Linked DNA regions of Astyanax mexicanus. The main gene of each other region encodes a partner of the protein of the gene in region 2 in a complex. Links are inferred from orthologs where the notes say so. Each region holds a gene or a part of one and is shown on either strand. Other genes may lie near its edges.

Evidence for each region. Proteins that work in one complex are often made in the same cells at the same time.
Region 1: sf3b2 (region 2) and cwc22 share a complex: the UniProt entries of both Homo sapiens proteins name them as parts of the minor spliceosome. The link is inferred for Astyanax mexicanus from reciprocal best matches to the Homo sapiens genes SF3B2 and CWC22.
Region 3: sf3b2 (region 2) and cwc27 share a complex: the UniProt entries of both Homo sapiens proteins name them as parts of the minor spliceosome. The link is inferred for Astyanax mexicanus from reciprocal best matches to the Homo sapiens genes SF3B2 and CWC27.

The regions. Positions count from the first base shown.
Region 1 is NC_064418.1:50,566,545-50,573,423, reverse strand, and holds the start of cwc22 (pre-mRNA-splicing factor CWC22 homolog), read right to left. Parts: upstream 3,004-6,879; 5' UTR 2,950-3,003; coding exon 2,884-2,949; intron 1-2,883. UniProt on the Homo sapiens protein: Required for pre-mRNA splicing as component of the spliceosome. As a component of the minor spliceosome, involved in the splicing of U12-type introns in pre-mRNAs. Promotes exon-junction complex (EJC) assembly.
Region 2 is NC_064415.1:13,364,132-13,371,805, reverse strand, and holds the start of sf3b2 (splicing factor 3B subunit 2), read right to left. Parts: upstream 3,003-7,674; 5' UTR 2,949-3,002; coding exon 2,822-2,948; intron 1,268-2,821; coding exon 1,221-1,267; intron 408-1,220; coding exon 348-407; intron 4-347; coding exon 1-3. UniProt on the Homo sapiens protein: Component of the 17S U2 SnRNP complex of the spliceosome, a large ribonucleoprotein complex that removes introns from transcribed pre-mRNAs.
Region 3 is NC_064427.1:22,654,112-22,661,412, reverse strand, and holds the start of cwc27 (spliceosome-associated protein CWC27 homolog), read right to left. Parts: upstream 3,004-7,301; 5' UTR 2,994-3,003; coding exon of another isoform or gene 2,981-2,993; 5' UTR 2,876-2,980; exon of another isoform or gene 2,868-2,875; intron 1,577-2,867; exon of another isoform or gene 1,418-1,576; 5' UTR 1,382-1,417; coding exon 1,340-1,381; intron 413-1,339; coding exon 316-412; intron 1-315. Other genes in the region: protein SREK1IP1, read left to right, coding at 2,981-2,993, 4,544-4,591, 4,707-4,859, 5,027-5,102, 6,151-6,349. UniProt on the Homo sapiens protein: As part of the spliceosome, plays a role in pre-mRNA splicing. Probable inactive PPIase with no peptidyl-prolyl cis-trans isomerase activity. As a component of the minor spliceosome, involved in the splicing of U12-type introns in pre-mRNAs.

The DNA of each region.
Region 1 (6,879 bases), on a different chromosome or scaffold from region 2:
GTCACAATGCTAAGGTAAATGCTGAGGTAAATGCTGAGGTAAATGTATAAATAAAAGAGCACTGCTGAGGTAAATCCATGATTAGAATAGCACTGCTGAGGTAAATCCATGATTAGAATAGTGCTGCTCAGGTAAATGTATGATTAAAAAGAAAGAAGCTTTGCTGAGGTAAATTCATGATTAGAATAAAAATATTTTTTGTACACTGGAATATTTACTATTTCAGGTTCCAGACTATACATAAAGAGATTAAATGACAAAGATAAAGTGGAAAAATTATACATTTTACCTGTAGTGTATATTCAAAGAATATTGAGATTTCATTTTAATTTCTGAGGTAAATGTATGATTAGAATAGCCCTGAATGATAATGTTTTGTGTGCAATAAACATTTTTAAATTGTATATCTGCAGTTGTTTTTTCTTTTTGAAAAGCAAGACAAACATAAATGTATACTATTTAAATTTTTAATGGTATATAAAGATAATTTATTAAGTTTGTACTGTGAATAAAAAACTTAGATATGACTCACAGGAGCTAAAATACACTTTTCTTTTAGAGCTTACGCTCTTAAATTTTTAAACACTTCTTAAGTGGAACAGATGGAACACTTACTGCAACCTGAAACTCCAAAATAAACTACTTTATCAAATAAAACGTTCCGAAATAAAACAGGAAGAGAAGGCTAAGCTAAATAAATCATGTTAAAGCCAGTGTCAGAAGGTGTCTGAAATATTAAAAATGGATTATGGATTTTTTTATTTACGTTCTGATTCTGAAAGTACCTTTTAGGTCACATTTAATCTCAAGATCATAGAATGATAAGACTACATATATCCCTAGATACAATACTACAGTGTATAATTAGTGTGTTAGTGTGTACAGTGTATTTCGCCCCACCCCTATAGACATTTATTTTTGCTTTTTTTTTTATCATACTTACATTTTTCAGATTATTAAACAAACTTCAAAAACAGAAAGACCTGGGTAAACATAAAAAAAAGCCTTTTTTACTATTTCTTGTAATAAGGGAAAACAACATTTATCCAAACCAACCTAGCCATAGCTACAATGAAAATCACTAAAATAGAACATATCTGAAAACATAAGGAAGATAAAAGATCTAAAAAATCAGCACATTATTATTCTCCCATCTGAAGAAATTCAACATCAGATGAGAAAAAGTTACTGATCATCTTTCAGTCTGGAAAAGGTTATAAAGTCATTTCTAAAGCTTTGAGACTCCAGAGAACCACAGTGATTCACTATTATTCACTAATGGAGAAAAAACAAATGGAACACTGGTGAACCTTCCCAGGAGTGACCGGCCGACCCAAATTACTGCAAAGGGCATGAAGAACTCATCCAGGAGGTCCATAAAAGAACCCAGAACAACATTTAAAGAACTGCAGGATCTCACTAAAGCCTCAGTTAAGATCAGTGTTAATGATTTAATAATAAGAAATAAATAATAAAAAAAAAAACACTGCTGACCAAAAACAGAGAAATACAACCACCCGTCTCACATTTACCAACTAACATCCTGATGATCTCCAGCTGCTTTTTATATTTACTTAGGTTATATTTGTTTGATATTGAAGTTTGTTTGAGAATATGAAAAATATAAGTATGACAAAAAAAGCAATGACAAAAGAAATCTATAAGGAGCAAATATATTTTTTACGGCACTATAATAGTGTAGTGTGTATTAGTTAATATAGTGAGAGTTAGGTGAGAGTTTGGCGAGAGTTTTATAAACACCACTCTACTGGTAAGTGTAAATAAACACCAAGAGTTTGTGTGTTAGTTTAAAACAGTGAGTATAAGTGTAGAGTATTAGTGTAGTATATTATAGTGAGTATTAGTATAGGTATAGTATTGGTGGTGTTGTAGTGTAATGGTGTAGAATTAGTGTAGTATAGTGAGTATTGGTCTAGTATAGTGAGCATAAGCATAGTAGACTACAGTGAGCATTACTGTAGTATAGTAAGTATCAATGTAGAATATTCTAGTGACTGCTAGTGTAGTATAGTGAGTATTAGTGTAGTATGGTGAGCATTAGTGTAGTACAGTGAATTTTAGTGTATAATAGTTTTCAGAATAGTATAGTGTTAGTCCAGTACAGTGCATATTAGTGTGGTATTAAAGTGTTAGTATAGTATAGTGAGTGTTAAAGTAGTATTACAGTAGTAATACAGTATAGTATTAGTGTAGAATTAGTGAGTTTTAATGTAGTATAGTGAGTGTTCTACAAGTAGTCAGTGTTAGTCCAGTATAGTTAGTATTAGTGTAGTATTATAGAGTGTTAGTGTAGTATAGTTAGTGTTAGTGTAGTATAGTGAGTGTTATTGTAGTAACTAATAGTGTTAGTCTTGTATTACAGTGAGTGTTAGTGTAGTAAAGTGAGTATTACTGTACTATAGTATTTGTTAGTCTAGCACAGTTATTATGAGTGTGGAATAGAGTATCATTATAGTAATTATAGTGAGTATTAGTGTAGTATAGTGAATAGTAATGTAGTATAGTGAGTGTTAGCTCTAAGTTTGGTGCTAAAGTAGGACAGTTGTTTGAACACCATAATTACTGTAAACATCATTACTATTAACTGTAAATAAACACTAAGAGTGTGTTTGTTAGTTAGTATAGGGGGTTTATTAGTGTGTGTGAGCCGCATTTGACCTTAAATCTGCTGTTTAATGATCAATAACCCGATTAATCGATAGTTGTGTAGTATGAGATTAATAACGCGCGCTCCGGGAGTGTGTGTGTACACAGGCCGCTCTCCCGCTCTCTCCCCCCGGTCTGTGTCCCGCGCTCTCCCCGCTCCGGGTCCCGCTCCCCCGCAGCGGTATCTCCGCCGCCCGCTCCCCGGCTCCCGCTCACCTGCTCCGGGCTGCGGGTTAATCCCTCCGCCGCCTCTTTTTCTCCGGACTCCGCCGCCGCCGCCATGTTCGCCTCTTTCCACCACGAGTGGAAGCCGCTACGGGTACCGGAAAGGGACAAACAACAAAAGTGAAAACGCGTTTTAGACGCAGCTTGAAGTCGATGTCAGAAAAAAAGGCGCGACTTCCTGTATGAACACGGTAACGTTGCGACAACGTTTAGACAGTCTATTATTTTGCAGCTTACAACGTTTCCTAAACGATTAAACGTAGAAACTACTGTGTTAAATTTAAACAAATAACAAAATAAGACGTTATTGATATTATCTCAATAAAACACATTATTATTATTACTATTATTATTATTATTATTATTATTATTATTATTATTATCATAAAAAAATCATATAAATCTTCACTTTAACTAACTTTTTCTATGTTATATACGGTTTTATTGGTTGTGGGGGGTGAGTTTGTCTGCAGCACTGCCTGATTACATTACCATGGTCCTTTTAAAATATTATATTGTTAATTTTTTAAACACGTTTTTTTTTTACAATGATTTAGCTATTTTAAATGTTTATTATTAACATTTGACATCATCAGTGACATCACAACCAAGGTATTGTTTTTAGGGGGCAAATACTTTCTCACATATATTTTTTTTCACAAATAAATGAAATTATCGTTCAAAAAAAATATTTTTTTAGTTACTCAGATTATCCTTGTCTGATATTAAAAGATTTTTTTTTATTCTGAAAATGTAAGTATGAAAAAGAACCCAAAACTAAAATGAAATACTTTTTTTACCACACTGTATTTCTTGATTATTGTTTATTGTAAATGCAGTATGCCTACTGAGACATGTGGGAAAGTTTAAGACAGAGGGAAATAACAGGAGTGTGAGAATAGGGAGGAGTGAACCACAGAGTCTACATGGCTCCCCCTTAAACCCTATACTAATTATTTAGCTATTAATACTAATACAGTAAATAACTACTGATATTGTGAATGGTGGAGTTCCACAAGGTTCAACTGTAGGACCTATAGAACTTTAAATATCTGAAGTGTGAAAATAAAGCTTATATGCAGGCTCTACCAGGTACACAAACAAACCTGATCAAGGTTAAAATTTTTAGGTTGAAATCAATACCTTATACATTTTTTTAATATAAATATTTTCTGAGTTGCTTTGAAAATGCATTGCGGACCACAACTGATACCCATATCACTGGTCTATAGTGTTCTGCCCTTTGTGCTCAGCTTGAATGCAGTGAAATAACCATCTATTTTGCTCAGAATAAGTTTTGTGCTTTTTGGATTGGATCACTCTTTTTAAGACCTCCTGAAGTAAACAAGACGTGTAATTGGAGCAGGAATGTCCTGTATACTGCTATATAAGACTTTCCTCTCAGTAATACACCTGTATGTCTTGGTCCTGCAGCCAGACAGAGGCTGTGCCCCTGACGTCCTCCACCAATCAGAGAGTCTCAGCTCTAATTTAACTATCCCGTTGGCAGGACATGCCACACACTGCCCTCTCTGCCCGCTGTGCCCACTCTCTCTCTCTCAGTACAGGAACCAGCGCCACAGGCCCTGCCCCACCACACAGCCACCAGACGGCCGGTAAACACTGTGTGAGAGAAATAATAATGAATAGAAAATAAAAACAACAAAAACAACAAAGCTAAAATTGCTTTACTTACATAATAACAGTTACTGCTGCATATTCAGCCAGAGGTTCAGTTCACATTAAAACCATAAAACTGTTCTTAACACTATCAAACATTTCAGCAACATACACTCATTTATATCAAGGTTTGTGCATGTTTAATGTATTTATTTTAGCTTATTTTTAAAGATAAGATAAGAGAAAACTTTAACTTTAGTGGAACCTTTAGTCTCCTGCTTGATGGCAGCAGCTGAAATGATGAGTAAAGAGGATGGTTATGGTCACAATGCACGATTATAATCACCTGTAAATCACCTGTATTGTGTATTTTTCAGATTTGGGGTTGTGCGTTCATCGCTATCTCGGTAACACAGGCGCCGTGCCGAGCCGAGCGTACACCCCCACTTATTACACACACATGAACACACAGCAGCACAAACCCAACTTTTACATCAACAATAAACAGAATAGTAAATAAAATAACATTGCTGTTCCCGTAAATGAGCTGCTGGAGCTCCTTCACAGCGTCAACCAGCAGCTCAGTTTCCTCTGCTGAGAAGAGTTTGTTGAACACGTCCAGGTAGCTGCACCGTTACAATAGCAATCCACCAAAGACAGAGCTCACCTGATCTACTCTTAAAGAGAATGATGAGCTGAAGAGACTCTCTGATTGGTTTATTAAATTTATTTCACGTTACGCCCAAAATTAACCACACCCATGATTAATACTTTTCCCGTCTTTACAATAGCAAAGACACACTGCCACGCCCTAAATCAAGCTTCATGGTGCACGAATGATGGCACACCTATGGATAAATAGGACCTAAGATCTCATGTGTCTAGAAAAGGAATTAAATTTAGTATTTATCTCTAAGTAGTACAGTAGGGCAGGTTACTGGGCTGGTGAGCTGGCACCGGATGCTGAGGCGGTGTTGGGCGTGTGTGTGGTGTGTGTGGTTCAGGCTGCAGTGTGTGTGGTCCCTGATGGCGGTGTGGACCCGGTGTAACCCAGTTGAAGCCCGGTGCCGGCCTGGGCCGGGTCCAGCTCCATCTGGAGGAGTTTAGTGTGTGATGGGATGCAGCTGCTCACCAGCCACACCACACTAATACTAACACTCCTGCTCCTACTGCGGGAGAGGACGCCCCCTACTGAACATCTGAAGAACAGCTCTGTAAAATAATAAGAGAGCACTTAAAAATGATGAGTTTCTTTGATTTTACCAAATTGAAAACCTCTGGAATATAATCAAGAGGAAGATGGATGATCACAAACCATCAAACCACCAAACTGAACTGCTTGAATTATTACACCAGGAGTAAAGCAGCATAAAGTTATCCAAAAGCAGTGTGTAAGACTGGTGGAGGAGAACATGATGCCAAGATGCATGAAAAAAAAAACTGTGATTAAAAAACAGGGTTATTCCACCAAATATTGATTATTTCTGAACTCTTAAAACTTTATGAATATGAACTTGTTTTCTTTGCATTATTTGAGGTCTGAAAGTTCTGCATCTTTTTTGTTATTTCAGTCATTTCTCATTTTCTGTAAATAAATGCTCTAAATGAGAATATTTTTATTTGTAATTTGGGAGAAATGTTGTCTGTAGTTTATAGAATAAAACAACAATGTTCATTTTACTCAAACAATCTATCTCTCTGTCTCTCTGTCTGTCTGTCTGATTATCTCTGATTAAACTCGGCAGAGTGTGTACAGACTCTTTGCTTACACAATACCGCCCCCTAGTGCTGATCAGAGGCAGTGCGTTACTGCTCTCAACCTGTTTATATTCCAATATATTTGCTTCTTTGGTTCTAGTGCTGTTTTTTTGTGATAAGGGCTAAGCTATCCTTTCATTGGCTCATAAACTTTTTATTTGGCTTGTTTAAAGTCTATTCTGATTAAAAACAGCTCTCGGTTAGTGTTTTGACACTTAAAAAAATAAGAAAATGCATGATGCCCATTGTAATGAAAGCAGGGTCTGAAAGGGTTAAAAAATGGTTTAATGTTTTTTTCTTAGAGTTATAGCCACTTCCTCTATCAGTATTTTAATTTTAAGTGGGAGTGAGTGAGTGTGATTAATTGCTCTTATTCTGTTATGTTGTGTAATAAAAGTGTAACTAACAGTGTTTTATCATTCTGAGATAATCACTCATCTCATCATATCCTCTGTTTCTCTAAAACTCGTTATTAAGCGTAATTGAAGACGTCACCTATTATCGACTCGTCATCCGTCCTGAAGCGATTGAGATTCTTCAGTCTGGTTCATCACTCATCAATCATCATCATCACTCATTACACATCACTCATCAATCATCACTCATCAT
Region 2 (7,674 bases):
AATCTATAAGGTGAGAGAAGGAAGACGTTAATTCACTGACATGAGCAAAAATCATAAGATCAAAAGACCAGAAAACTTAGATCTCAGGTATTCAGCAGGGCTGAAATGACCTCCTAATCATTTTTTGTAAAAAAAATTGCTTAATAACTGTACAATTAATGTATATATAATAAATGTTTTGTTTAAATCCTCTCAAGCTTTATTTTAGTAAAAAGATTCAGGGTCTCTGGTTCTGGGTGAAAACTGGATCTGAAACTGTGAAAACTGAGTGTCTACCTCTACATTTAATTTATTTTCCATAATTCACATCACATGATGATATAAACATAATAAATAAGAGGGCTTACCGTGGGCATGCCTTTGTCATCTCCACCAGGTATGTTGGGCTTATTCAACATGATTCCAGTCTGAGGGGAAAAAAACACTTGTGATAAAGCGCATTCATATCCAGCAAGGACAGAACGAAACTTTATGGGTAGTGTAGGGCGAGCGCTCAGAAGCAGGGCCAGTAACCATGGCAACAAGGAGGTACAGTTTATCCGACACCGTTTATTTACACACCAACACTAATATTTACAAATTTACAGGCGTACGTACTTGACGAGAAAAGAAAACGAAAAGTAAACAAACACAAAATAATCTCTTCACGCAGAGAATAAGGTCTATCTCCTATACAGTCGTATAGAGCTTCTTTTCATGGCTGATATCCCGAACTATCTGCCCCCCCCTTACTCATAGATCCAGTACACCTTTTATACCATTAACCCCTCCCATGAACATACCATTTCTCACACGGGTAGAACCGGGTAATGATACACCAAGTACATGGTACTATGATATAATAAGAACAACAATATTAATAATAATAATAATAATAATAGTAGCAAACTCTAATCAGTTTGTAAGTGCTGAAATCTGTACGAGTTTCAATGTACATATAAAATACACATTCACATTTCTTCCCTTTCTTTTACAGGTACACACTCCCCCTCTCTTCTGCAAGGATGGACTCACCCAGGTAAGTAAAAGGTTTTGAGTTACGTGTAGTACCCTTTTGTCTCAACAGGCTGAGCATGAGTGTACACAGGTAAGTGATATAGTCTTTATGGTGATGAAGAGGGGTATAGCCTACTTCATCACAACACTCAAGCTCAAAATAACAGTGGAAAAAAAAAGGTACAAACAGTGAAACCAAATTATTTACTTTACAAGTCTCTTACCTGCATCATGTAATTTTTCAACCTGTCTATTAACTCTTCTCTAGGGCCTGAGAAAAAAGAATAAACAGAAAATACTGTATTAAACAACTGCACTGTTTTGTTTGCCATGCATTACTCTCATATGCATACATTACACACAGGAAATTCAACAAATGTGAATAATAATTGTGACTTCTCTAATTGCACAACTTTACATTGTACTTCACTCTATTGTACATTTAGCATTTCGCAAAACATCAAGCTTACCTCTAACATTACATGTTCACATTGTACTTTCTACTTTCTGTATTTTATTGATTTACAGTTATATTCTGTGTATTTTTTTTTGGTAACTAAGCTCATTATTTAAACTTATCTCTCAGTAGTAAGAGAGCTTCTACTCTAAAAACTCCAGATCACAACAGAACAGATGACACACTTAAACTATTTTTCGTAAAATGATTTGTATGCATTCTAATTTTAGTGATTTGCTGGAGATTTTAAACAACATAAGGAGTCTCTGCTGGACTAGACAAATATCCATATCAAATATCCAATCAACAGCACCATGTGGACACTGATGAAGGACTCAAGGATGACCTAACAGTGCATCAACAGATTTAGAGCCTCCGTCTCTGATTTTACGTCTACAAGGTGGAAGAACTAGGTAGGAGTTCCTAATAGACTGAACAGTGTTTAAAAACGTCAGCAGCACTGCTGTTTCGGACCAATTGTAGCAGACCTGTGGAGTCCTGACCATTTGAATAAACAGGGTAAAAGGAAGACAGTGAAGTCTACAGAGAAACAGATACAGGACTCTACTATGTAATTATTAGTGTACATATTGCACCTTTATGCTTAGTGTAGCTGATAAGATAAAAACACATTTATTGAAGATTACATGAATATATTTATTAGCTCTGTGGCAGGATCTCCTCCACCAGTCTTACACACTGCTTTTGGGTAATTTTTTGCCACTCCTGGTGCAAAAAATCAATCAGTTCAGCTTGGTTTGATGGCTTATGATTACCCATTTTCCTTCCTTATATTCCAGGGGCTTTCAATTTAGTAAAATCAAAGAAAATCATCATTTTCAAATTGTCTGATTTTCCAGAGCTGTATGCAGTATTGACACATAGACCAACTGACTTGTATTGATAAACACATGTCTGACATTTATACACAAGAATAAGAAAGTAGTCATGAAATAAGAGGTTTAGCAATATGACGGGCTTGGGTTGTGTGCGTTTTACTTAGGACACAACATTTACCACAACAGCTAACAGTTAGCTAGCTAACTAGTTTCCCAGTTCATTGATAGCTACAGAACCAACATGGCGCAGCTACACGCAACTTTACTCGTTTTAAATCAGTTTAACGTGCTAATAAACTCGATTAAACAGCCTTAATATCTTTACACACATCATGAGAACCCGCTCGCAGCAATGACCCACAATAAACACTAAACACCAAGCTAATAACTAAGTTACTGTTTCAAACAACCGGCATCAGAAGCAGTTAGCTTAGCTTCCAGATTAGCATGCGTGCTAATTAGCTTAGCTTAGTTTAGTTTAGCTGTCTCCCCCGGCCCGCTGCAGACGCCTCTCCCCGGGTTAACTCACCCATTACCGGCGCCCCGATCTCCGCCAGCTTGGCCTGTAGCTCAGCGTGGCTCCATGTGTTGAGCGCCGCGGCGGAGGCGCCCAGCTCCGGGCTGGTCTCGGCTCCCGGGGGTCCGTCGCTAGACATTTTCACACAACCGCGTTCAACAGCACCGCCGCGCAGACTCGACGCAGCAGGCACTGCGCATGCGTGCTTGAATAAAGGCCGGCGGGCCACTGCGCAGAAGCGTTGATCTATATCTCATGTACACCTCAGAGTTTGTGGTTCGGAGTGTTTATAGATCAGCGCATCCGCTCTACAGAGCTGTGTCCCACCGGAACAGGACAGCAGGATTTTAAAACTGTGCACATGCGTTCCCACTCATACAGTAGCCCAGTGTAAACACGCTGAACACACAAGAACAAGAGCAGAACATTATACAGGGTCATAGAAAAGTGTGATCATTTATTCAGTGCCTTTGTAGCAAAATTTCATTCAATTATACACAACCATAGTACATTTTAATACATTCACCGTGGCATAGTATATATTAGTAAATTCTACAGTAGTAATTTATAGTAAGTTCTGCAGTGCTACATTATATTTTAGTAAATTATTCAGTGATATTTTAGTAAATTATGCAGTGCTACATTAGATTTTAGTAAATTCTGCAGTGCCATGGTAAATTTTATTAAATGATACAGTACCATAGTACATTTTAGTAAGTTCTACAGTGCAACAGTACATTTTAGTAACTTCTACAGTGCTATAGTACATTATAGTAAATTCTACAGCACAGTAGTACATTTTTAGTAAGTTCTACAGTGCGATAGTATATTTTAGTAAATTCTCCACAGTGCTGTAGTACATTTAAGTAAATTCTACGGTGCCATAGTTCATTTAAGTTAGTAGTTTTAATTATAGTAAATGTTAGTTTATTCTACAGTGACATTAATGTAGTATTTTTTTAAAATGACGTAGTACATTCTGTTACTATTACATTAATAAAATTCTGTTGCATCGCTGCAGTAAATTCGCATAATATGTGCATTGGCGTATTGAAGCCAGAAGGAGGTAGCATTTTAACGATTTTACTCAGATGTAGCACTGAATAAAGTATAGAACTGAGAGCAGATTACTAATCTATAATATTTTATTCAGTACTATTCTATAACAACTATACTATTTAATTAAATTTATAACTTTTTATGTTATTCTATTCTAAAAAAAAATCTTACGATATTACTATTTCATTGTATTCTGTACTATACAATTCTATAATACACTGTAAATTACTTTAGTATATATCACATATAAAGCTATTGAAATGTATTCCGCCCTTTTAAGAAAAAGCCCTTTGACATCATAACCTTTATACTATTTTATTTTCAGTAAGAAGAAACTCTTTCTGCTGCACGTTCATAAAATGAATAATAATTTCACTGAATATTCCTCATATTGTCTCAAAAATATGTCTTAGAAAAATTATTTATATGAAAATTTTCTTTTTGTAGTTGTATTAATTTAGGTTTAGGTAATTAATCATTTCATATTTTTTTTTCATTACATACTGTTTTGTTCTATATTGTGTGATGCTATACAATATCTATATTTATATCTATATCAATATTTAACGCTCATCGTGTGAATTCAGGATGGAATGGATGGATTTACACAGTGATGGATTGCCTTTACACTGGGGCACGTCTCCCTTGTATGTCTTATAGGATTAATAGTTATTAAGGTTATTGGTCTTATTTAACTATAATTTCTTCTATTTACGTAGTAGTAACATACTATTCAAATAACTGTATCTTCATTATAATTAACATAATTTGATGTAATGTTTATATTAGTGGATATGGGTCTGAAGTTTTTAAGTTTTGAACAGACATGAAAATAAAGGAAACATGTGTCACAGCCCATTTCATCTACCAGCCAATCACGGAATAGGGGGCGGGGTGTATCGGAATGCGGTTGTTGGAGGGCGGGGCGTGCCTAAATGCAGTGGTCGAAGGGCGGGGCGTGCCTGAATACGGGTGTGGGAGGGCGGGGCGTGCCTGAATACGGGTGTGGGAGGGCGGGGCGTGCCTGAAAACAGGTGGGTTCAGCGTTGTTTCTGATGGTAGCAAATCTTTAGGAAGGTCCTCTGCCCTCAGTACAGATGGGGGCATGAACCAGCGCTGAACATTTCTATACAAAAACGCCTTTAATTCACCGAAGTGCTCCGAGGAAAGGCAGGTAAGCAGTTTATCTAACAGTGTCCGTGTTTTTATGGGAAGTTTGTGGACAGGGAGTCTGGTTTAGCGTGTTTTCAGTGAGAGCGTGCTGATTAGCTGCTCTGAAAGTAATGCTGCAGCTAACCTAACCTAAACTAACATAGTGTTTTTTTGCTTTCTGAGCTGGATATAGTAAATATAGGCTTATTTATTGGCGTGTTTTGGTCCTTTTATCTATTAACATGAGTTTTCTGAAGCTAATCTTATGTTTGTTTGTTAAGCTAGTTATTGTTTAGACTAGAGCTTTTTAAGTGTAGAGTTGTAATAATAATAATAATAATAATATTTTTGTTTGTTATGGATTTTTTGTTTTGTTTTAATAAGCTATGCAGCTTTTTATCCAGTCTAAAAACTTGCACATCTTTAAGAGCTTTATCTCTGTTTAAATGTGTTTTTTTTTTTTTTTTGAGCGTGAGCTCTTGTGGTCTCTATAAAGGAAGTGAAGAAAACACTGCCTCTGTTTTGAGCATGTCTTTAACTCAGGCCCTGCCACATCCATGCCGCCTTTATCTCTGCCCGGCAGGCCTGACTCTCAGAGATATGGACATTTAAACACCGTATGAAACCGCTGTAATGCTGCCAGAGCAGACAAATACTATATTAGTGTATTAGTGGCCTGATTGGCCTCAACACAATACAATAAACACATTAGTCAAGGCACCACCCTTCTCCTGTACATGCTTCAGTGCCCCACAGTTGCAACATGACCTCTTTACACACTGTTTATCTCTTTATATATTGGTTTATCTCTCTATATATCTGTTTATCTCTCTATAAATATATTTTAATTTCATAGTTTTCAGGATTGGTAGGAAGTACGCCTATGTGGTGTTTCCTTATGAACTAGCTAACCTGGAACAGTTGGTGTCAGTGTATGTAAAAGGTGTAGAGGAACTCCTGCCTTTACCTCATACTCTCTAATCTTATTGCTGGGGAGTTCCCTCAGTTTAAGAATCAGTTTTCTCAATTTAACAATCCATTCCATAACGTTACATTTATTAAATCATTGTCTCACTTTATATGGAATTGATTTAGGTATACTTAAGGAACAGTTTATTTAAATGAGTAAACTGATTTCTTAAATAGAAGTAATGATTAATAAAATGTCAGGATCTGTCAACTCCTTAAAATTATGTTTCCTGCTTGATATTTTCAGCCATTACTCATTGCACATTATTACAAAAGAATGTGACCTCCTCATTAGGGGATTAGAGAATTTGCTTTAGGCCATGTTACATTTAGAATATTGAACATTTGAACAATTAGGGATAAGGAAGCTTCATGCTGGTCCAGGGGATTAAACTGGTTACAATAAAATAGCTAATTAAGTAGGTAAATATGCTTGGTTACCCAAATAATAATGTCATTCCATAAAGTCAGACCTCCCCCTTAAACCTTTAGGTCATTTGCTGCAAATAAATAGTATATTTATTGTTATTGTGATATAAGTTTTAACAGACCTATTAAAAGAACTGCTACAATATCGCAAATAACAGCAAATCCAAATAGTATTACCTGCATGCAGCCGCAGAGGGATGTTTTAGTGCAGTACAGACTGTGCTCGTGTGACATAACAAGGCTGGAGGTAGAGTGGGGTCTATAATGAACACACACACACCACACTACATCTTAGCCTGGAAAAAAATAATGCAGCTACCAAGGGTGGGCGATATGGCTCTAAAATAATATCACAATATTTCATGGTATTTTCACGATAATGATACTTTTGGCGATATGTCAAAACACTGAATTAGAAAAATTATTTACAATTTTATTACTGCATGCAATATGATATGGCTAACTGAGATATAAAAAAAAAGAATTTTATCAGATTTGTTACAGAATGATTCAGAATGTCATGATACTAATAATGCACTCCAAATATCTCCATATATCCAGGATTAAAGTTATATGATCTGTCTCTAGTAGATAAATAATGGGAAATGAGAACAGTGTAAATTTTTCTTTTGGTAAAAACGGCAAAAAAGTAGTACTCTGTTGTGATAATTAGGGGTGAGTGATATGGCACGATATTTCAGGGTATAATATCGTTCACGATATTCAAACTTTTTGCGATATTATCACGTACGATACGATATGGCACACCCCTAGCAGCTACGCCAAGTACCAAAACTTAAACTAATATAGGATCTTTATTTGTCGTGCTTCACATCAATAATCTTATATCCAATAGCATTAGCATGCAATACGTTTTTCCCTTACTGTACACCATAATTTTTCAAATTCCAAAAGACTGCAAATGTCAGTAGTTAAGATGTAAACAAAAGAAAAAAGATTGGTTCATTGTAGTACAATGGTACAGTAAAGTATTTGTATAGCAGTGGTAATAAGAAGCACAGGGGTTGCAATAAATAAAACACAAACAATAAAACATTTAAACTGTGAACATGAGTTTTCTGAGCTTTTATAATATAGGGTTAATCAGATCTGTCAACCCTGCTTTCTAATAAAGTCAATAGGTTTCATTGTCATTACATCTGAAAACAAGTGCACAGTGCAATGGAATTACGATCATTTAGATATTCATGTACATAACCAACATTCCTGTAATGTGCCAGTATTGGCAGCTGTCC
Region 3 (7,301 bases), on a different chromosome or scaffold from region 2:
AAAATTTATAACATGTACATTACTAACATAGTATTTGTTTCACTGCCCACTGTCCCACAGGCACTGGCTAGAGTGCAAGAAAGTCCTCCAGGACATTTAGACTCCGGCTGTTGATCACAAAGCAGCATTATCTGTGACTTGAGCATCTTAGTCTGCAGAGCCAGTGAAAGTTGGATTGACGTTTAACAACCAAACCTTGCATTTATTAAATTGGGGAAGCTATTTTTTAAATTGAGAATGAAGTGTACTACTACAGACACATTTAAACATAAAGGAATGTCAAAGAGGTAAAAAGACTAAATATGCTAGACTTACCTTCCATGCACAGCTGAGTGAAGTTTCTGCAGGCTTTGGGAGCTTCTTTTGACCACAGCTCCACATCAATATCACCTGCAGAGGTCTTAATTAAAACCTTTAAGAAAAATAAAATGGAGACAGTTTTAAAAATTGTCTCAGATTGCTAATCTCCCCTGATAGCAAAGAACATTGAAGAAACGTTACTTTTTTTTGGTTGCATAAAATGGCTGAGCGATAGGAGGCTCTTAAGGTATCAGGATCAGATTTCTAGCATTGTTGAACAGGTCTCAAAGCCTGGAGCTGGATAAGTTTAAACTGGCAACACAAATTGATTTAAGTAATTAATGACAAAACTTGTGATTATCATAAACTAAATGGACATTACCTCAATAATATTTAATTGTTGTAAAATCTATTGTGTTCTATTATGTGAATATGTGTTCACATATATTACATAACTTAACAGTGAACAGTATTTTACCTAGTCATGCTAAATGACCAATGTTTTAAAAATTGAGACTCCACACAGTACAAACATTGTTGACTGCAGTAACTTAGGTAAAAACAAAGTATAGCTATACATCCTGAACTATGATTAATTACAAATTTTGTCTTTAAAAATATGGAAACGCTTTGTTATGCTATTCTATTATCATTATGTCAGTTTAAATGGCCTGTGATGTGATTAGGACATTCATAGTTGAAATTATGTTGGGGTTTTTTTAAATAATGTTTTGTAATATCGTCAAAAAATATAGCAAAAACACCCTGAGCACCCTATCGTGATATTATTTTAGGGCCATATCGCCAAGCCTTAATGCTGAATATTTATGTTTTGCTAGCTAACTTAACCCAGTAACTAACTAGAGTTACAGTACAGTGCAGTTTTTTGAGACAGTCAGTGAGTCAGAAACACACACTAAAGGGCGGTGTTTGGGAAATAACCTTGTTTGTTCGTCATATTATTTATTTTTTATATTTAAAGAAACAAAACTCAGTGAACTAAGGCTAGGTTAGGTTAGTTAGCTCCCTGGCTACGCACCTTGCCACTAGTCGGAGGCTCCTGGATGTATATGTTGCTCATGTTTGAAGCAGTATTAGTAGGACGCCAGCTACCGTACTGAAAAAAAAAACGATAATAAACGGCAAAAAACTCGCATAAACATAAAATATCACTCTAATAAATCCTGTACACCGCCGCCAGCTTAGACTTCTCCTTCTTTAACATCCTGACTGGGGGAAAAACACTGCTAACCGCACTGCTGCCACCTAAAGCTAGCGAACCAACCTACAGTTCAGAGGCCCAAGATAGTTATGCCAGAGAATCTCTATAATAGAAAGGTTTGTTTAACCACCAGAGGGCGCACCCAAGTGAGTTTACTGTAGAAAATATAAAATATACAGGTGAGTTCTATATATTTTATTAGCAAAATACACTATTCCGACTTCCAAAATTAAAGGAATGTACCGGAGATGTATATATATATATATATATATATATATATATATATATATATATATATATATATATATATAAAATTACCTTACTATTTTTATTTTGAGTTGTAGCGGTTTAGCTCCATTCACCCCCATTTATTTTGATCTCACTCGCGGGTGCCCTCTAGCGATTCACAGTCATTTTCTGATAGAAATTATAGGAAGTGGGTAGGCTCTCCAACAAATCTTTTAATATTAAAAACGAACAAAATATCACATTTTAAAACCATTGTTATCATTACACATCAAAGACTGGTCAAGAATACCATCATAACCACCTCCTTGTTTCTACATACATTACCCACGGGACACAACAACTGGTAGACTTATTTCAGTCCAGCAGTGACATTGAGAAGTTTAAAAATAAGGGTTCATTTATAACCTGATTTACGTTAACTGATTAAGACTACTTTAAATGCTACTTAAAAGCTAATTGAAACACTACTGTGTTTTTAAAAGAGCCTGACCTTGAGGGACTGACACAGTTAGTGTTTTTGTGTGCCTGTCTTCAACTCCTCACTTATGTATTAGGGATTCACTTAAACTGAGAGTACACTAATGTGGTGCATATCTGAATAAACAAAAGTGTGTATGTGCTTGTTTAGACCTCTGGTGGCAAACTACAAAACGCTAACAACCATACAAACCTTACATGTGGGTCATTATAGGGAGAAAAATATAATGAGTATAATGCTGGGTCAGGCTTTTTACCATAATATTCGCCTCCTATTAGGATGCACATCTTCCACTTTCTCTTATATAATAAGCTCAAATGCCTGGAGCACAGAGTTAGAATACTTAATCTAACATGTTAATAATAGTTTAAATATAGTTGCTGACTAAAGGCAATCTGTACTATACGTGCATTATTATACATATATCAGGCATTATTATTGCCTATTGCAGTGCTAACTGAACCTAATGCACTGATAACAGACTAATACAAGTAAAATGTATGACATTATCAGGTAAATTGATAACATAGATAACAGCCTAATGTCAGTATCAGAGCCAAAGGGAATATTGAATAAACGCCTGTGTGTAAGTTCCCCGGCTTTCAGCGGGTGGCGGTAATGCTCACCGTAAGCTACTAGAGGAAGAAGAAGGAGAAGAGCCTGGTGTGTGTTGTTGTGTTTTGAGGACGAGCTGCATTTTTTTCACATTAAAATCTCTATACTCAGCTGAAATGGCTGTTCCAGGTATGTAAAACTAGCTACAGATCTGACTAGCTTAGATTAGCTGGTTTACCCCGTTTGTTCCTGTTTTGGCGGGAAGCGCGCGCCCGGAACATTCTGGAACAGTACTAGGTTAGCTTAGCTTAGCTTAGCTTAGCTAGGCTTACAGTAGCAGCTCCTATACAAAACTATATGTAGCTAAGATAACTATTAACTAACTAACTAGCTGAGCTAAGCTAGTTAACCTAACTACTGATGCTAGTTAGCGCACTAGTTTTGATCATATTTATTAAATACATATATGAATGTTGCACGGTGTCATTTAAACGTTGCCTTGTTAAAAAATCCCTTTTAGTTAAATAGCTAGGTTATCTTAAATAGCTTTTGTTCTCACAGCAACTATGTAAAGCTAGGTTAGCTAGATAACTAGCCAGCTCACTAGTTAGTTAACGTTACCATATTCAGCAAAAAAAACGTTAAATAAACGTTCACTATTTCATCGCTAGTGCGTATATACAGCTCTGGAGAGACCACTTCCGTTTCTGAATCAGTTTCTCTGATTTTGCTATTTATAGGTATATGTTTGAGCAAAATTATTCTATAAACTACAGACAACATTGCTTCCAAATAAAATGCAAAGAAATTATTAAATAATGCAAAGAAAACAAGTTTATATTCATAAAGTTTTAAGAGTTCAGAAATCAATATTTGGTGGAATAACACTGGTTTTTAATCACATTTTTCATGCACAGTCTTACACACTGCTTTTGTTTAACTTAATGCCACTCCTGCTGCAAAAAAGTCAAGCAGTTTCGCAGTTGGGGTTGGATCAGTTTCGCTTGGTTTGATGGCTTGCGATCATCCATCTTGCGTTTTCAATTTGGTAAAATTAAAGAAACTCATCATTTTTAAGTGGTCTTTCTCCAGAGCTGTACATATACTAGTGCATCAAAATAAAAATTTCAATGAAAAGTTACTATATTTCTGTAATTTAGTTCAAAATTTAAAGCTCATATATAATATAGATGTATTGATGATTATGGCTTGCATCCAATGAAAACCCCAACAGTCAATATCTTAGAAAATTAAAATATTATAAAAGACCAATTGGTACTTTTGGCAATGTGGGCAGTGTGCCAAGTCCTGCTGGATAATGAAATCTGCATCTCCATAAAAGTTATGAGCAGAGGGAAGCATGAAGTGCTGTAAGATTTTCTGGGAAAACACTGCACTGACTTTGGACTTGGATAATAAAACACAGTGGACCAACACCAGCAGATGACATGACTCTCCAAACCATCACTGATCATCAGTAAATTTTGCATTTCATTTTGGAAAACAAGGGACCAGAGTCTGGAGGAAGAGTGAAGAGACACACAGTCTTGAGATCTACTGTGACATTTCCACAATCAGTAATGGTTTGGAGAGGCATGTCATCTGCTGGTGTTGGTCTACTGTCAAACAAGTTATAAAGTCCAAAGATATTCTGGACAATTAAACAATTGTGGTGTATTAAAACTTTTGACTAGTACTGCATATCTTTACTAATGGGTTTATAATTGTTTTTTAAACAGGTGTTAATAAGGATAATATTCGAGCTGGATGTAAAAGATGTGGCTATCGTAAGTATTGAGAATGATCCGTTTGGATCATATTTACTTTGTATTCAGCTTTTAATTAGCATTATTACTGTAATTCTTTATTGTTGCAAAACAAATGATTTCCTTACTTTGCCAGCGGGTCACCTGACGTTCGAGTGTCGTAACTTTGTGCGAGTGGACCCCAGGAAGGACATCGTTTTGGACGTTAGCAGCACAAGCACTGAAGAGAGCGAGGAAGAAGAGCAGGCGGCTGTCAGCAAGGAGAAGATCTTTGGGAGCAATTCTAAAGGTTTGGGCATTATTTGATAATTAGTTTGATCTGCTTAACTATAACTTTTTTCTAGATTTGCAATCACTGATGGCTATAGTGTTAATTATTTCTGGACTCTAAAATGGAAAGTGTAGAAAATGACAGGAATGCTGATAATCAGAGTTTGATATTTGCTTCCTCTGCAGGTTCTCAGGAGGACTCAAAAAAGGAAAAGCACAAAAAGAAAAGTAAAGAAAGATCCCACCGTAAAGCAAAAAAGAGGTACAATCTGCAAAACTTCCAAACACACATTTTTTATTATTTAAATGCATATCTGGAGAAGTATGCCATTTTATATTACTGATACAGCTGTTACAGTATTGTATACAGCATAAAGTGTTGACTGATATTATTATATTACTGATAATAACATACTGATGTTAACAGAAAAATGTTGCATATTGTTGCTGTAAAATACATTTATAGAAGGTTAAATTCAATGTGTTGTAAGCAAAGCTGAAACTGTAATTTGTATTTATAATAGTAACAATAGGAAATATGAAAATATCATAGATTGTGTTTTTATATCAATAAACATTTATTTTAAAGTGCAAATAAAGTAAAGCAAAAATATAAAGTGGTACCATTTTAAATGTGGAAAAAAAAATAACTGGACTGGATGCCACATATTTTTCTTTTTTTTTTTATCCTCTCAGAGGTTAATGGACAGTTAATGGATAACCATTTACCTTAAGTGGTCAGTTAGGGTGCATCTCTGAAGCTGACCTTGAGTTGCTGAGATGTTTTTAAAGAAATTATTTTAGGACTAGTTTTGAAATTTGTGGGATTTGATTTGATCTCATTAAATTTTTACTTCATTTAATAAAAGCAATGTGTATATAACTATATAATTATAATATACAATTCACATTAGGTATACATTCTCAGTGTCAATAGGGGCTTTAATTGTGAATTGTGGAAGATATTTTAGCTGTACATACTCTAATAAGTAAAATTCACTGCAAAATATTTACACTGTTGTGCCAAAAAAAATGAGAGAGCAGTATGTAAACTACCATAACATATTCTTAACATTCTTAAAATCAGTAAATATATATATTTCTATTATTACAAGTAAAATTATACATTTTTATAAGTAATTTGCTGACATGACCCTGTCGCACAAGAATCGTTTATCTGAAATTATAAAAATGTTTAAAAATATATAAAAAGAACATTTTTAATAATATATTTTGCCTTAAATAAAAAATAACAATAGAAAGTTTTTTTGTCATTTATGTTTTATTAATTTCTTATTACTTTGATTCAGGTCTTATTCATCTAGTGATGATGATGATGAGGAGGAGGAGGAAGAGGAGAGCAAAAAAAAGAAAAAGCACAAGAGCCATAAGAAGAAAGGCAAAAAGGAAAAAAAAGAGAAAGAGAAAAGACGTATGAAAAAGAGCAAGAAGAAACTTAAACAGACCTCCTCATCCAGCAGCTCCAGCGGATCTTCAGACACAGACTGAGATGTTAATGTTGTTATTTTTGATGTCGGCTCACCAGGACCAGCATTTCTTATGAACGTAAAGGCTCAGACATTTGCGGCAGATTTTAATTAAAATAATTATGATCTGAAATACCCAAAGACTAGGGGAGTTTCAGAGCCGTGTATAGATATGTTACTGTTTAAGCAGTGAATCTTTCTCCTGACATTGGTAGCTATGTTCTCTTATGGAGGTTTATTGTGCTGGTGGAAAGGTAACCTTTCTTAGTGTATTTTTGATGCAATTATGATTTTGTACAGAAAGTAAATAAAAACATGTGGCTGTTACTTTTCTATAATGTGAACTTATGTTTGTTTATTCTTATAAGTGTAGAATCATATTTATAAGTGCTCATTTGGCAGTGGTCTATTTTTATATAAATTATTGGTTACACTGTCTCCACTGTTTCCATTGGAAGTGCTACATTCAGACTGTATCCGTAAACTTTTATATAATGTGCACAAATACAGATTAAATTAATGCAATATATGGACAATAGGCTCCATCCATATCCACATCCACATTTAACATTGAGCGAAAATGAGCATAAATACAGATGGAGGCTTTTATCTGTACTGTGCTTTAATTTTATCGTTTTTTTTACATGTTCTCTAAAAGCTTACAGACACAGAATAAAAGCTATGTTACCTAATCAAGAGTTTATTAAGTCTTTTAAGAGTTTATTAAGAGTTTAAGTCTGCAATTTCCAGTTTGCCTCTTCTATTTTTTTGTGGAAAACACAATCATTACCTCAGATATTTTTTACTGCCTTCTAGGTTATTTATAATTGGCTAAGCATTAATGCCTACCTTTATTTAAATTAACAACTTACTTTTTAAGAGAAATAAGAATATGAACAAGTAAATTCACCAAAACCCACAAATCCTCAGTCAAAATGGTAAATTTACCAAAAAAAAAACCCTTACCATTCAAT